3 linked regions of the Drosophila melanogaster genome follow. The protein of the gene in region 2 interacts with the protein of the main gene of each other region in a pairwise test. Each region holds a gene or a part of one and is shown on either strand. Other genes may lie near its edges.

What was found. The genes of interacting proteins can lie anywhere in the genome.
Region 1: the proteins of BNIP3 (region 2) and CG7407 interact in a two-hybrid assay, tested with the Drosophila melanogaster proteins (one large-scale study listed by BioGRID).
Region 3: the proteins of BNIP3 (region 2) and CG1636 interact in a two-hybrid assay, tested with the Drosophila melanogaster proteins (one large-scale study listed by BioGRID).

Annotation. Positions count from the first base shown.
Region 1 is NT_037436.4:21,821,831-21,825,078, reverse strand, and holds CG7407 (uncharacterized protein), read right to left. Parts: upstream 1,619-3,248; 5' UTR 1,548-1,618; coding exon 1,416-1,547; intron 1,354-1,415; coding exon 979-1,353; 3' UTR 508-978; downstream 1-507. Other genes in the region: eIF2A (eukaryotic translation initiation factor 2A), read right to left, coding at 2-41; CycH (cyclin H), read right to left, coding at 1,851-1,968, 2,027-2,138, 2,194-2,422, 2,482-2,683, 2,760-3,073.
Region 2 is NT_037436.4:20,514,059-20,521,062, forward strand, and holds BNIP3 (BNIP3), read right to left. Parts: upstream 5,336-7,004; 5' UTR 4,950-5,335; coding exon 4,910-4,949; intron 3,247-4,909; exon of another isoform or gene 3,219-3,246; coding exon of another isoform or gene 3,203-3,218; exon of another isoform or gene 2,641-3,202; intron 2,075-2,640; coding exon 1,803-2,074; intron 1,729-1,802; coding exon 1,667-1,728; intron 1,566-1,666; coding exon 1,386-1,565; intron 1,326-1,385; coding exon 1,274-1,325; 3' UTR 541-1,273; downstream 1-540. Other genes in the region: mTerf3 (mitochondrial transcription termination factor 3), read right to left, coding at 5,559-5,836, 5,896-6,682.
Region 3 is NC_004354.4:8,271,859-8,276,708, reverse strand, and holds CG1636 (uncharacterized protein), read right to left. Parts: upstream 3,298-4,850; 5' UTR 3,162-3,297; coding exon 2,955-3,161; exon of another isoform or gene 2,903-2,954; intron 2,430-2,902; coding exon 2,083-2,429; intron 2,001-2,082; coding exon 1,501-2,000; intron 1,442-1,500; coding exon 1,347-1,441; 3' UTR 508-1,346; downstream 1-507. Other genes in the region: CG15343 (uncharacterized protein), read left to right, coding at 3,502-4,016, 4,088-4,214; CG1632 (uncharacterized protein), read right to left, coding at 4,590-4,769.

The DNA of each region.
Region 1 (3,248 bases), 1.3 Mb from region 2:
CTGGCAAGGGTAGGAACAACCAGATCCGCAGCTGCAGCCATTGTCTTCCAATCTCACACGCACACACACACAGGAACAAGCACGTCGGTGGTGTTGTTGCTGTTGTTTTTGTTGTCGTGTCGTCTGATGTACAATCAGTGTTGGTCAACGATTTCGTGCTTGAATTGGTCACACACGGTTGCCGTGTACGCGGTGTATCGATAAGCGATAGTAAACATGCATGGGCATTGGCGCCACAACGACACGTTTAAACATCAACCAAACCAAACCGAACGTATTTAGAACTCCAACAAAATATCTGCTCCACGTGAATTTAAAAACATTTTAGTACTAAAAAATTTGGAACAGAAACGCTAAGCATTTCGACTGCTCCAATCGAAGGTGTGCTGATGGAATCTATATGTTAGAACAATTATTTTCAAAAATCCAATCGCGGCATATAAAATATGAGCGGTTATTTTCGGATATTTGGCTAGGAAACGGTAGGAAATATTTAGAGTATATATTACATCTTAACACAGCTAAACATTCTTTATTGAACAAATAAATCCAAAGTTATATGAACACAATTTAAATCTAACCAACGAATTTGGCGATTAATTGTGTTTAAATCTATACACTTTCTGATCGCGAGTTTTTATCTTGTAACACGTTAAAATATATACATATATTCTTAATTCGAAAGCTGATTTAAGAGACTAAGAGCCGAACAGCCATTTACTACAAATCTAAATCAGATATTAATAACACCAGGAACTCACAAAATACATAGATCGAAGTGGAATACATATAATTTACATACAACTAAGATATTATATTCCGACATCATCGACTGATGAGATAGCTCTCTGACTAAAGACTTGCCCGCACTTAGTGGACCGTATGAGGCAACACCAAATCTTGGAATTTTAAACATTAAACTAATAGATCACACAAGTCTGTACATTCAGGTAGGGTGAGCCCAGGCTCGGCGCCACTTCAGCGATAGAGCCGCACCTGCTGCTTGAGATCCTGGTCGCTTATTCGGTCCTGGAGGTTCAATTCCGCCTCCTGTTTGCGCAGGAGCTCAAAGATGGCCGCCAGCTGCTCGCGCTCTATTCGGCGCTCCTCCTCGATTTGGCTGGGAGTCAGGGTCTTCTCCATCTTATGCTGGAGCCTCTTGGCCTTGAGCTGGCCCATCAGGTGGTTGTAGCTGTGCTCGGGCAGCTGTTCCTCGATTAGCTCAACTTCGCTTTCGGTGGAGTTCTCTTCGTAGGCCTCGTCATCGTCGGTTTCCTCCCCTTGCGGAGTCCGTGACTCGGAATCCTCCTCATCGCGCGGCTCGTCGGCCCCCAGGCCCTCGTCCTCCAGTTCCTGCAAGATAATGTAAGGAAATATTCCAGGAGACGTCTACTTCTTCCGGCAAAAACACCCACGCCTTTGTCCTTGAAGATGTTGGCGAAGTAGAAGGCGACCAAAACGCACAGCAGAAGGGTGACCAGCGCTACCGAGTAGTGGCCTGGTAGTCCAAGAAAGAGAACATCCAGCGAAGGCAGAAAATCCTGCATTTCGAACTCTTTTTGCTATTTGTTGTGACTGAGTTCACTATTCTTGTTTTTCTTGGGGCGCAGTGTGGCCGTTAGCTGCGAACGAAATATTGCCAAGCAGCGCTAAGCGGATTTTCAAAAGGTTTTTTTTTTAATATTTTATATATTGGAAAAGTGAAGTACCTAATCCAACTTTGTTTAGTAAACTAACACTAAACGCATACATTTTAACAATCAAGAAATGGTAAATTACAAAATGCTTTAATATCGATGAAATCCACGCAGTAGTAGATCATCACATCATTTAAATAAATATTCTTAAGTCTATTGGCTGATGTTCATAGCAGATGTGTCCGAGCTCACATCTGCAATGTGGAATGAGGCATCTTCGGCGGGCATGTCATCCTCATCGGTGTACAATCGGCGTAGGCGCTCCTTATAGCTTTTAAAGTATAAGGGTTATTAAATTCGGAATGCATGAACAAATTAGGGCGTCTTACAGTTCGCTATCAGGATTATTGGCTTGATTTCGGCACTTGTCCAACTTTTTCTCGATGGCCTTGACCTTCTCCCGATCGGGCTGCTGATATTGCTTCACCATTATGCGAATTTCTGTCGGGAAAAAGGCATGTAGGGCTGGGCGCACCATCTCACAGCACAAACTTACTTCGCACGGCATCTATGAGTCCGGGTAGCTTCTCCCTGGCGGAGACAAACAGAAGATCCGTCACATAGCTATCGAGATTCTCTTGCTCTCTGCTGGCCGCGTGGAGGACGGCAGCCAATGCAATTTGCGAAGGCGTATGCAGAAGACAGGCATCCGAGTAGTACGTGGAATCAATGAAACTATCAATATGTGGCCGCAGACGATCTGGATTCTGCATATTGCTGCGAGTCTGAAACAAACCAATATGAACGAAACAATCTGGAGAGCAAATGTGAATATATATCGCACTTTTATATCTATCAGGAAACCCTCGATGGGTCTGAACGGATTGTGTATGGTGAGGTAGTAGTTGAGCTGTCCAATCAGCAGTAATTCATTGGACAACACTATGTCGGTGGCCTTGTTCCTGTCGCCCTTGATGTTGTTTACGAACTGGTTGATGGACACGTTGAACTCCTCAACTTTGCAGGCAACGAACACGCATGTGGCTCTGAAAAGGTTTATACATTTTTAGAATGTTTTGCTTTTCAGCTGGGTGTTTGCTGCTCTCAGGTGAGCGTTCCTACAGAATCTCCTTGGGGTGATAGTCCATGGGGGAGTTGTTCAGATAGAACCGCTTGAAGTAGTGGAAGGCCGTGCCCACAACGCACTTGGGCATCGTCGGTTCGAAGCGGCGGCAGAAATCGAACAGGTAGATCTCGTACTGCTTCAGCAACAGGCGCTCCTCCGCCGACGTGAGAAAGTGCTCATTGAGGTCGCGACCCTGCGCCTCCTCCTCGTGCGACTCGATGTACTTGCTGTTCTGCTCCACGCGGAACTCCATGAGCTGGCCCTCATTGGCGAATGTCCAGGACCTCTTTTGCGAGCTCACAGGATACATCTTGCTCAGCTGCCGGCGAATTTATGCCGATTCGAAACTCAGACACCCTGCATGGTGTTACCGATTGCGGGACGGAGAAAAATACCAGTTGTGAAAAAATATTAGGGTGATTCGTACAATAGTCACTTTTATTTCATTGGAAATCAGAAGCGCAAGATTGGCAAAAATTGAGAAC
Region 2 (7,004 bases):
CTATTACCTAATAAAACTTTAAATAAAATTACAATTGCTAAAGCAACTCAAAAACAGTTAGTTTATGCACTTTAAAGGGCGGCAGTTTAGTTCGTATCGATATTGCATTCGCTTGGCAATTGATAACAAGTCTAAATGATCAACTAACAAAATTAGTTGACTATTAGCACATTATGATGAAATTATCGCTTATACTGACTCACTGCTGATAATCTCAAAAAAATATTAATGGCGAAATGCAAATAGCGGGTTTTTCCCTTTATATACACAAAGGTAATCCAAGCCCTCACTTATGTGAAACAGTTTGATAATGCGAACAGGTACACGTCTAGCGATTTTCAAAACAACAGGCGACTTATTCAACAACAAGCACCGGGAATGCCTTTTAGACAAAAGGCATCTCAAAATACCTTGCAGCACTTCCCTGAAAATCCCTTTCATCTCACTAATCCGTCTTTCCAAGATTATAAAATTCTCAAAACTTTCTAAGCCATCTCTTGCAATTCCGTAAAACCCACCAAAGAAAAATGTTTGCAGATGCTCTTTTAAATAGATATTGAAAAATATTTTAATATAAAAAATCATTACAACTATTCTGTTTTTTTTGTGTGGGGGATAACCCTTCCCTCACATTAAAGATATAATCTTATGTGTGCCATATTGTTTTTTTTTCTCCTTTTGTATCGTTTTTCTTATATGCTTATTGTATCGAAACATTTGACGATTGTTCAACAAAAAGTACAATCAGGATACAATACGATTCAACTATAATATGTCTACAAATGTTTATGGTTGTTCTATATGATGTATGATGATGAAATTGAAATTCTTAACACGAAGTTCGGCGTACATTTGTATTGGATATAATGCACGGTTGGGTGCTAAGACATACGGCTAAAGCAAAATATATGGAGCATCTATAAATGCTTTTCTGTATCATTAGATTTGCTGCCTTGATATAATGTTAAATATATAAAATTATATAAAATATGAAAACGCTTAGTTTCAACCATTGCCCAAAGGCCTGTTTTAGTTTGCTGGCTTAGTAATTAGAAATTACATTTTTATAGGTATGTACTGAATGAGAAGGTGTCGAAAATATAGACTTCCGATAAAAATACAAATGAGTTGGAATACGGTTGGCTGTATAGATGTGTATACTTCGTTTTCTTATATGGAACGCATCGTGTTCTGTTTTCGATTGATGTGCATATTGATAGATTGAAAACGATTATATATATTTCCTCTTTCTCCTTTTTGTTTATGGCATCTTTCAGTCAATGACCACACGGGTAAGGAGTATGCCACGCTTGCTCAACCATAGCCTATAAATAAATACCATTACATGAAATGTGAATCTGGTGAAGATTGCTAGAGACCCTTACCCGAATCCAGCTCCCAGCAGCAGGGACAGGACGTTGGTCACCAGCAGCGAGTACAGAATTTCGCGGGAGAACAACGAGTTGGAGCCCAGTCGCTTCAAACGGATGGAGTAGCCTGTGTTAGTCTTCTTTTTCTCGCCCTCGTCGCCGGCATCCCGACTTGAATCCTCAATGTTCCAGCTACTGTAAATAATAATTCAATGAATGACCATTTGTGGTAAAAGGCCGCAATGCTCCAAACTTAGTTCTAGATTCTAGAAACTTAGCTAAATAAACTTTCATACCTGGGTGGCTGATTCCAGTTCTTCAGCCAATCTTCATTGCCTGCATTCTGTTTGTCTCCTCCCTGGCAAAAGCAAAAACAGAGACTGGCATTGTTAGCAAGATCACCTCGGTTCCGCCTCGATTCTCATCTCTTACCTTGGTCCAGTAGTTGATGTACACGTTTCTGAGCTCATCATCCGGACAGAGCTCCGACTGGGGACTGTTCGGTGGACTCTTGGGGCTATCACGGGGCGTATCACGACGGGAGCTGGCCAAGGAGACGACACGGCTCGACTGGTTCGACTCGCGCTGGGCCTCGCGCAGAAGTCTCAGGTACTCCTCGCCATTGTTGAATGGCAACGGAGTGATTCTGTCGGGGCTCTTGATGCCAGCCATCGCAGCTGTTGTGCTGAGTTCGATCCAAGATTCTGGAAAGTAGATCATTAGCATGATAGACTGGCGAACAAAGTGGGTGAAAGCTAAAGCCAAATGGGGTGAAATTAAATATTTAGTTGGTTGCATTTGGAGGTGGTTAAATATAGCACAGGCTCGAGGGTCGAAACCTTTTGGGGCGTGTTGAATAAACATGAGAAGTCCAAACACAGACGTGCGTTATGACGTTCTTTATTGAATTTATACAAACGAAAACGTTCTAGGTTCGTTAACAACAATTTTTAATTTAATTTTAGAAATTTTCATACAGAACATATCAATATTTTACGATGTTTAAGTTTTGAATGGTTTAACCCTATTTAACTGTTTATTTATGAAACAGTTTATTTATTTCTAAGCTGATAAACGTCAGTTTAAAGTAATCCCTTGTCTAAAATTACACTTGCTGACAAAATAAAGTAGTTTCACTTGTTTACTCAGAAAGGCGTGCAGTTTGAGAGCCACTGTGCGGCGGCAGCGGCTCTAAAAATGTGCCATCGTCACCCTTTCAGCGTTTGTCTTCGTTTTTGTTTACACGTAAAAACATTTTAACCATACATACGTTCGATTCGTTAGCCGGATCTGCAATGTATGTGCTTGTATATATCTGTTCGAGTGCTCGTGCCCCATTGATAACGCTAAAAACCCCACCACTCGCATAATTTCCGTTTCTTTTCGGCATACTGTGTATATAAAGCAGCACACATGTTTTGTTTATAGTCTATACAAGCCGATGCTTATCAATGCTCTACGGAGAAAATTTCATTTTCAAAACAAATCGAGAAAAAAGACAAACTGGCGATGCAATATGGGCACGAGAAGCGTGCAAGTTACTTGATAAGGAGTACAGTGTAGCGTTCCTAAAAACTACCTAATAATACAACCAACTGATTACATGTATACGCATATATATAATCACACATACGATCACACCCAACGCCTCTTATATCATCTATTATTCACTTTCTAATTAATTAAAATTAATTTTTTCTATAATTTTGTAATGTCACATTATAAATTTAAAATCTTCCTGGTATTGCTTTCTCTCGAGTTATCACTGTACAATCATCTAATTTAGACACTTTCGCGATGGAATCAGTTACAGAATAATTCAGATCACTCACGTGGCACACCAATCATGCTGACAATTGAATACTAAATGCATCGTCTAGACGAAAAGGATGATGCATTTATGATGGAAATGTTGCGAAAATAGAAAATGGAAATGCCCGTATGTCAGGTAGACGCAGAAGTTTTGCACAGGTAAACAATATTTGGAGCATTATCGGGAATCCGGGTTACAGGTACGAAAATGGAAACAAAAACAAAAGCAAAAGTGCACAGAAGGGTGGCAAAAACAAAAACAATGGCTTTGTGACTCACGGCACGTAGGCCTCTCTCCCTCTCTTTCGGCCAACCACCCTCCGTCTCTCTCTAACAATCACTCCCCCTCTCTCTCTCTCTTTCTACCCTACCCTCTTCGGGCTTTGTCGGGTGTGCATCTTGATGCGCAGCTGTCCAAAAGACCCTGAGTTGGGCCCATTGAACCGCCTTTATTATTGGATGGATGACTCCTCGGTATCATGATACGATTTCTTGCGTAGTATATGGCACAGTGCACAAAGAAAAAATGTTTCTCTAAGTTGGTCATTCATTTCGCACGTGTTTTAAGGTCAAGAAACAGATCAAGCCGGCGCATTACTTACACACTTATTTCATATACATATGTACATACTTAGCTTTAAAAGATTAATATCAGATTCATTCAAACGTATAGAAATACATATGAATAATATTTATATGCTATCATTGATAACGGAATTCCACATCCAAACTGTGTCAAACCTTTCAAAAGTGATGTATTTCATAACATATGGTTCGATTTGGGCTAAAACTGATTAGATTAATACTGCTTGGATGGTAGTAAATTGAAAAACAAATTTTTCGTCCGGCATTACTTTTGTGAGTGACTTTGCAGAATTGTAGTATAATTTCTGTGGTAGTCAACAACCTTTTCGACAAACAAACAAAGTGCTTTCAAGCAGTCAACCAAAAAGATTATACTTTATGTCAACAAAATATTTCAACATTTCGTGCAATTCCTAAGAAAATTTATTGAATATTGTCCATCATACGATTTTCATAAAATTAAGAGATTTTGAAAAACACATTCAAGTACGTTGATGAGTATAAATTTATATAACCTAGTTTTTCCGCGAGTGTAAACGTGGATGTTGATAAAGTGGGCAGCCGAAATACAATTGAAGCGAATATGCCAAAGGCGCAATTTCTGGAAACGACCGATAGGGAAATGCCCTCCCACAAAATGTATTTATTTACGAATTATTTTAGCAAGCCAGACGGAAGAAGAAGACCGGGTCGGGGAAATGGGGAGCGCAAAAAGTAAACCACAACTGACGTCAAGCGTGCTAAGTGCAAAGTAAAGGAACAAGACATGACATGAATGAAAGAGCGGAGGGAGAAAGAGTGCGTTGGCAGCTTCTTTGTCTTTGTTTTCATACGGAGTTTTGCGGATTCTTTGTTGTCTCTCTTTCTTTCTCGCCCCCTCTGCGGAGCAAGAACAAGTGCAAAGTAAACAAATAAAAGCAGAAAGAAATCAAAAAGCAGACAACGCAAAGCCTTGAAAAAATATGGGATGCGGATACTAACAAATTGCAAACAACTCCATAAATACATACACATGTCTAGATACTCTCGCAACAACAACAATGCGGCATAACGGGTTACCATGTTATTGTTATGATTGTAAAAAGGGGAGACGCAAAAAAACACGAATGAAAGAGCAAAGCAGACGAAAACAAACAACTTACCGCCCAGCAAATCTTCGCTCGATTTTGGTGTCGTAGACATTTTGTTTTTGTTTATCGGTATGTGTGTTCAACACGTCAACACCAAAGATAACTTGGGTTTATTGCTTATTATTAACTCGCTTTAAAGTTAAACTATTTCTATTATTCTTTCGTGAGTTTGACCAAGTTTTTTTTGGCCCTTCCGTATGTCTGCCTGTGTTTGTGTATTCGCTTTTGCTGTTTATGTATGCGTAGGAAAATGCGTTTTACTTTTCGTTTGGCGCTGTTTCTCCGCCGCTGCACTCGATTTGACTATAACTACTGGTTTCGGACTGAAGCCAACCGCTGGAGCTCCGAAATATTGCAACTTTGTTTAATGCTTCTCCCGAAGCGACTGTCTTGTAACTAAAATTAAACACGATTCGTTTCTACGCACAAGCTTAATGCGTAGTTTAAATCTTTTGTTGCTGTCCAGTGTGACCAGATGGAGAAACGGTAGCAATCCAGGTGCGTGTCTATGTTTTCCTACATCTGGCATCCCTTGTATCAAGTAAATTTATTGGTGGTTATTTTTAAAATGATAAAACTTGGTTTCTGTTGACTTTTGAAAATATATGCATATGCATATATGAATATGAAAAGTATATATACATTTACTTTTATTTTATTCTTATCTCGTTTTCAAAAACAAATCAAATGTTTCCAAATCACTTTTAGCCACATTTCGGACGAAATAAAAGTTATTGCCTTCCACTATAGTTTTTGGCGATATATACAGGTCTTTTTGCGGATCATATTGCGCTCTTCCAAGCAATTTCAGGAACTCATGACGTTCCCGCAGTCTAAATTCGCGTGAGGCCAAAAGCTCCGGGCACTGGACAATCTGGGCATGTGGAAGGCCCATATCCTGGTGAATGTAACTAAATCGCTCGACAAGATCATCCGGAGCTGCAAGGATAAGTTGTTTAATTACAAATGTCCTTAATTTTGAATGTAGATAGACTTACGAATCATCAAGAGGCGCGGCTTTCGTACCACCAGGTCACTTAGCTCCTTGGCATTGAATCCCATTTCCTCCTTAAGGGTGAACACAGACTTGCGGAGGTGTTCCATATTGTAGGTAATGGCATTGGGTTCTCTGGTGGCCAACAGTCGCAGATCATGACCACTCAATTTGAACTCCTTTTGGAAGTAACCCAATCGACGATCCACTCGCCTGGTGGAGAACATCAGCCAATAAGGATTCTGGGTGAGAATTCTTTGCCTGGCTTCGTCCGAGAATCTCTTGCTTTTTAGATAGTTCACTCTGGTCTGCAGATCGTCCAAGTCCTCCTTGAACAGCAGCGGGTTCTTGGTGAACATCCTGCCGAAGTCATCGGGTGATACGCCCTGATCCACCAGGAACGTTATGTAGGGCTTCACATTTTTCTCGAAATCCAGCTTCAGTACAAAGTCTCCCAATCCCTTTCGCCGTTCAATACTGTGCAGATCCACTCCCAAGCTGAGAAATTGCTGCAGGGTACTCGAGTTGTTCACATAGGCCGCCAAATTGAAGGAAGGCACATGGGCCTCCCGATTTCGGAAGTCCAGAGCCACTTCTTTGGAGCCTTCACATTCCGCAGGCTCGGTCTTCTTGTCATTCTGTTTGGTGGTTATACCCGGTGATGTTAACACTTCTACCTCATGGTGGACACTTTGTTGTCCTCGCAGATTTCGTATTTGTGAGGTAATTGTTGCGTTTTTAGCCGCATTTTGTGAATTCCTCAAAATGTTACGTAGAGCTGAACAAAACATGCTGGAGGCGTTGCCAGATGTCGCGAATGTGACCAGCAGTTGGCTGCCAAAGTTTCTAAATATGGCATGCTAGCTAGAAAAAGCTAAAATTATATTTTGAATATGATTTTGATATAAAAACATATTTGTTTTTAAATGGATATTCTTGAACAAAAATGCACTACTAATATCTGATTTCTTTAGTTTTTTTATGAAGATATATATAAAATTGCAAATTGTTGGTATAATTTTTAATCGGACGGTATATGTTAACGGTTACCACCACGGTCACACTAGGTATGATCTTGGATTTATTTTGGTGTGAAAATTCCGGAGCATAAAA
Region 3 (4,850 bases), on a different chromosome or scaffold from region 2:
AAATTTTTTAGTTTACAGACCTAATACGTAAATATGTTGTACAATTAAACAGTTCTAAAATCGATTCCGATTATGAAATGAGCAAATGAGAATTCATGTTGAGAACGTACGATTGCAAGGATATCAAAAACAAAGTTTCGAAGGAAGAAACGCGAAACCTAAAACCAAATGAGAAACCGAAATTTAACTAGAGAATTCTTTTCAAATATCAAATAAAGCAAGAACATTAATAATATAATATAATATTTCAGCCACGATGGGAGAGCTAAGAAGTGAATAAAACAAACGAATGCAACCAACCCAGTAACAACAACAACAACACACACACACATTTCAATTGCGCTCGTTTAGCCCATATATAGTATATTTCAATTAAAAGAACGAAAAAAAAAACAACACATTACAATATTTCAATATGTCATTAAGTCACAGCGAATAAACAACAACAATAAGTTGAAGGCGACTTACAAATCTAAACGAGAGAGAAACTGCGATCGTGTGTGCGAGGGAGAGAGAGAGAGAGAGAGTTGGTATAGAGATATAGTAACTATATGTATATATATCATCAGCGACGATCTCCGTTGGCGCCAAAAATCGAGCGATACTAACTAAATTTGCTAAGGTCTTTCAGCCGCTTGGTTTATGCGTGCTGTCTAAATCGTGATTGGTAGATATTACATTTAATATTGATCTAGAGTTTTTATAAATAATTGTTAACTAGTGACAACAGTGCGTCAATTGTTGTATTGCTCGCATCGAAACGCACTGTGGTTTATTATCGAATAAGTACTATTAGAACAGTGCGTTTGGCAACAGTCGAATTCGACGTTTTAAAGATATATAACATTATTTTAAATACTTCTAGGAGATTAATTTTGTAAGCCTCACTTTTCGATTTTTGCGTATATAGCCTTTGAGATTATCTGCACGTTTGATTTATCGTTTATATTCATGTTTTAATTTTGACAACCTTTAGTTGTTATGTTCTTAACGCGTATATTTGAATCGTTGAGATATTTAAATAATTTTTGATTAAAAGCTACCAACTGATATTTTTAAAGTCTTTACAACAAAAACGTTGACAAATTTACAAATTTTCAAGTGTTAAATATTCCTATTTTTTGATTACGATCTGAATGTTGGCCAAAACGCACTGTTCGCGCTGATCGCGTTCTAGCTAACACGCATAAACCGAAATCAGCCTGAGTGAGAGAGAGAGAGAGAGCGCTAGTTTCAACTTTGTGAGTTATTAGCCTAAGCTGAACTTGTGTCTTTTTTGGTTTGGTTTAAGGAAATGTGGTTTTCTACTGTGTAAAAGTGTGCTGCGTCCGTGCGGTAGGACGCGATTAGGTATCAATGGCCTGGTCATCGTTGTCATCCTCCGGCTCATGGCCACGTCCCTCGCGAATTCGCTTCAATTTGCGCTTAAGCATCATGACGCCTGCCAGGGAAAATGATTGTTAATCAGATATTCAACATCGGTTAGTGCAGGAAGCTTACATTTTATGGCCTGAAAGGTTTTGGCCGAGGCCGAACTGGTTTCGGAGGGCAGCGAATTGGACGTGGTTCTAATGTGTGCCAGCTTTACCTCCAAATAGGCCTTCTTCAGTGTCTTGTAGTGCCGGAACTCACTGGTGTCCTTGACCAGGATGCACTTAGCCGCCGATCCCTCGCCCGAACAATCCGACGGCGCTGTGTGATATATCTGATGGTAGAAGTATTGCAGCACCGGCGAGTTCCAAATGGAGAGGCCGTACCACAACCAAATGGGCACATTCAGGGAAAGCTTAAAGTTCTTGGCGAACAGCGTGGGTATGAAGTACTTAAAGGGCAGTAGGTTGACAAACACATACGCCCACACCATGATGCGCAGACCGAGGAAAACCTGGTAGATGATCCGGTGTGAATTGGTGCTGGGCAGGACCAACAGGGCTAGCACCTCGGTGAGTATGCTGTACAGACCCACCGTTAGATTCAGGCCCACAAAGTAGTTTTCGTACCTAAAAATAAAGAGTATTTAATATTTTCGAGCTTAAATGGCTCCAGGCTAGAATGGTAGGGACCAAACGTGTCTCGACTTGCCTGTAAACATCGATGGCGACGAGGGACAGCAGGTAGAGTCCCTTGGAGCCCACCTCCAGGAAGTCAGCGTCCTTGAAGTCCAACCACGCCCCATGCAGGTAGAACGTGATAATGAAGATCGAGTAGAACTGAAACTTTTCCGCCTGATGAGATCGATAGAAGATCAGGTTCTCCGAGGAGTAGAAGAGCGAGTAGCGTCCTTGGTTCTTCATCAGCTGCGGCAGGATCATGAACTCGTTGTAGAAGTGCAGGAACAGGCAGCTGGCCGCATAGAAGGCGATGTTCCAAATGACGCGGGCGAACAGCCTCCGCTGAAAGTGCTTCATGCTCGACGACTTCAGAAAGAACTGAAAAGGGAGAGGAGCAATTAGTCGAGCATTGGTCTTGGGTCACTACAGATAATGGTTTATATGGCTTATGGTCAGCGCCGATGGGTCGACTGTCACCGGACTTATGCTATCACCAAAGCCAGGAGCGAAGTGCCAACCGAATGGGGAAGGAAGTACATCTGAATCCCTTAAACAATGACTGTCGGGAGTAAAATCAATACTATCTTCGCCTTATATTGATTTTACAAGAGACAACATATTTAAATAATAATCATTTACAGCTTAGTTGCAAGCCAAAACAATACAAAAAGTGCCGCATTTCGTTGTGTTTTGAAGCTTTTCAAAGGGTTGGTAACAGTATTTTTAGCGCCCCACTCGGTTGGCACCCCGTCCACCCCCGGAATGCGCGAATCCGGCACCGTGTCCGCTCTGTTTATTTATAAACGGCAAATTGGCCGAGCAACCCCTCAAAAGAAAAGTGCAATTGGAGGCGCCGCGTCGAGGGTGCTGCGATTGAAAGGATTTGCCACGTGCTGGACCCACCTGGAAGAGCCGCTGGAAGGCGTAGTAGCCGCAAGACAACGCCACGAATATCCAAAAGACCCCGTTGATCAGGTAATAGAGGTCTATGTCCCGCACCATCGAATCGAAGCGGTCGTTGGTGATCAGGTATTTCAGCGGCAGAAAGAAGTTGCTGATCTCCGCCCAGTAGTCGGGCGGACCGGCCTTCATGTCCAGAATGGAGGTCATGCTGCTCCTCGGCGGGATTTCCCGTTCTGCCGCCCCAGAATCGCGAGTTGGTGTTCCTCGTTTTCAGCCGAAAATTGGGAGAATTTGTTTCGTTTCTATGTATCGATAGTAACCGATAGCTTCGCAAATATAACGTGAAATCAACGGCTATCGATTATAGAACCGCTGCAAAGTACTGCGCTTCTGTTACAGTGCTGTTAGCGTTAACAGCGCGCAAAGTGCGCCAAATTTGAATGACAGTACATTACTTCAGTTATAAGGGGCTTTACCAATTAACATTAAATGTGTATTACATTTTCAAAATGTATAAGAATATTTTTCGCTTCAAGGACCCACCAATATGACCTCCTCTTTGGCCAAAATCGAGGACTTTCCCTCCGATCCCGTTGAATTTTTTAAGGAGATCCTTCAGGAAGCTGCCAAGGGACATCCCGATGGATTCATACAGGAAATGAACCTGGCCACCGTGGACGAGGAATTCGGTGTGCTCAACCGCACTGTTCTGTACCGCGGACTCACCCAGGATAACTGTGTGTTCTACATCACCCATCGGTACGTTCGCAACTTCAAGAACCTTCAGGCCAATCCCAAGGCCTGCATCACCTTCTATATGCCAGATGTTAAGGATAAGGCCGGAAATCAGAATGCCTGGCAGGTGAGATTGATTGGAGCCACCGCCGTGGAACTTGACCAAAGCGAAATGGATGCTTTGTGGGCGAAGGAGAATTTGGCTGCCCAAATCAGGGGTCACATCTGTCCCTGTGGAGAACCGATTAACTACGATGATCTCAAGGCAAAGCACGATCAGTTCCTTCTGGATCACAGAGGAAAATCCATCGAGAGACCAGCAAGCTAGTGAGTTTCGAAGTTTATATGTATATCTATATTTAGTAAATTAACATATACATAATTACAACTTCTTCTAGTACCGCTTGGAAATTCCAACCGCAGCGTTGGGACTTCCTGAAGGTGGGTCTCGACCAAATCGCAGACCGGGTGCAGTACCGCCTTCAGAAGGATGGGAAATGGAAATCCATGCACGTGTCCACCTAATTGTGGTATACCCCCAGTAAAGCCATTATCTTGATTTTGGACGATTTCATTTTATTCAACAATATCTTTCTACAAACAGCTAAACGTACAGACTAACAACTAAATTTGCTTCCTTTTCGACATGTTTAACATACAATTACAACATAGTTAATAAATATTACACAAAACAGCAAAAAAAAGGACGTTTAAAGAATACAGTTAGCATAGAGTTACATAGGTTCGAGTAACATTAGAGCAGGTTAGTTACATAGTACATATGCTTAATTGCCTTACTTGCTTTGCTACACACACACATAATACCCAGTGAGTTTCGGTTCCGTTTTCTACACAAATGCGCTGAGGGGCGTGCCGCCGCCCCCTGGTGAACTATCCCGACTATATCGCGCTGATCGTCTCGCGGATCCAGGCGGCATTCGAGGCGATCTTGTCGTACATCCTGGGCCGCTCCACGCCCGTGGGTCCGCACGCGATCCGCCAGGAGGAGACCCCAATGAGCGCCCACTGATTCGTTCCGGGAATCAGGCACTGGACAGGCGCTCCCGAATACTCCTCTTGCTGAAAATGAACAATATGAAATTCAAAATATAATAATAAAATATAATTTTGGTCCACTCTAAAAAATGATATATAGTTTAA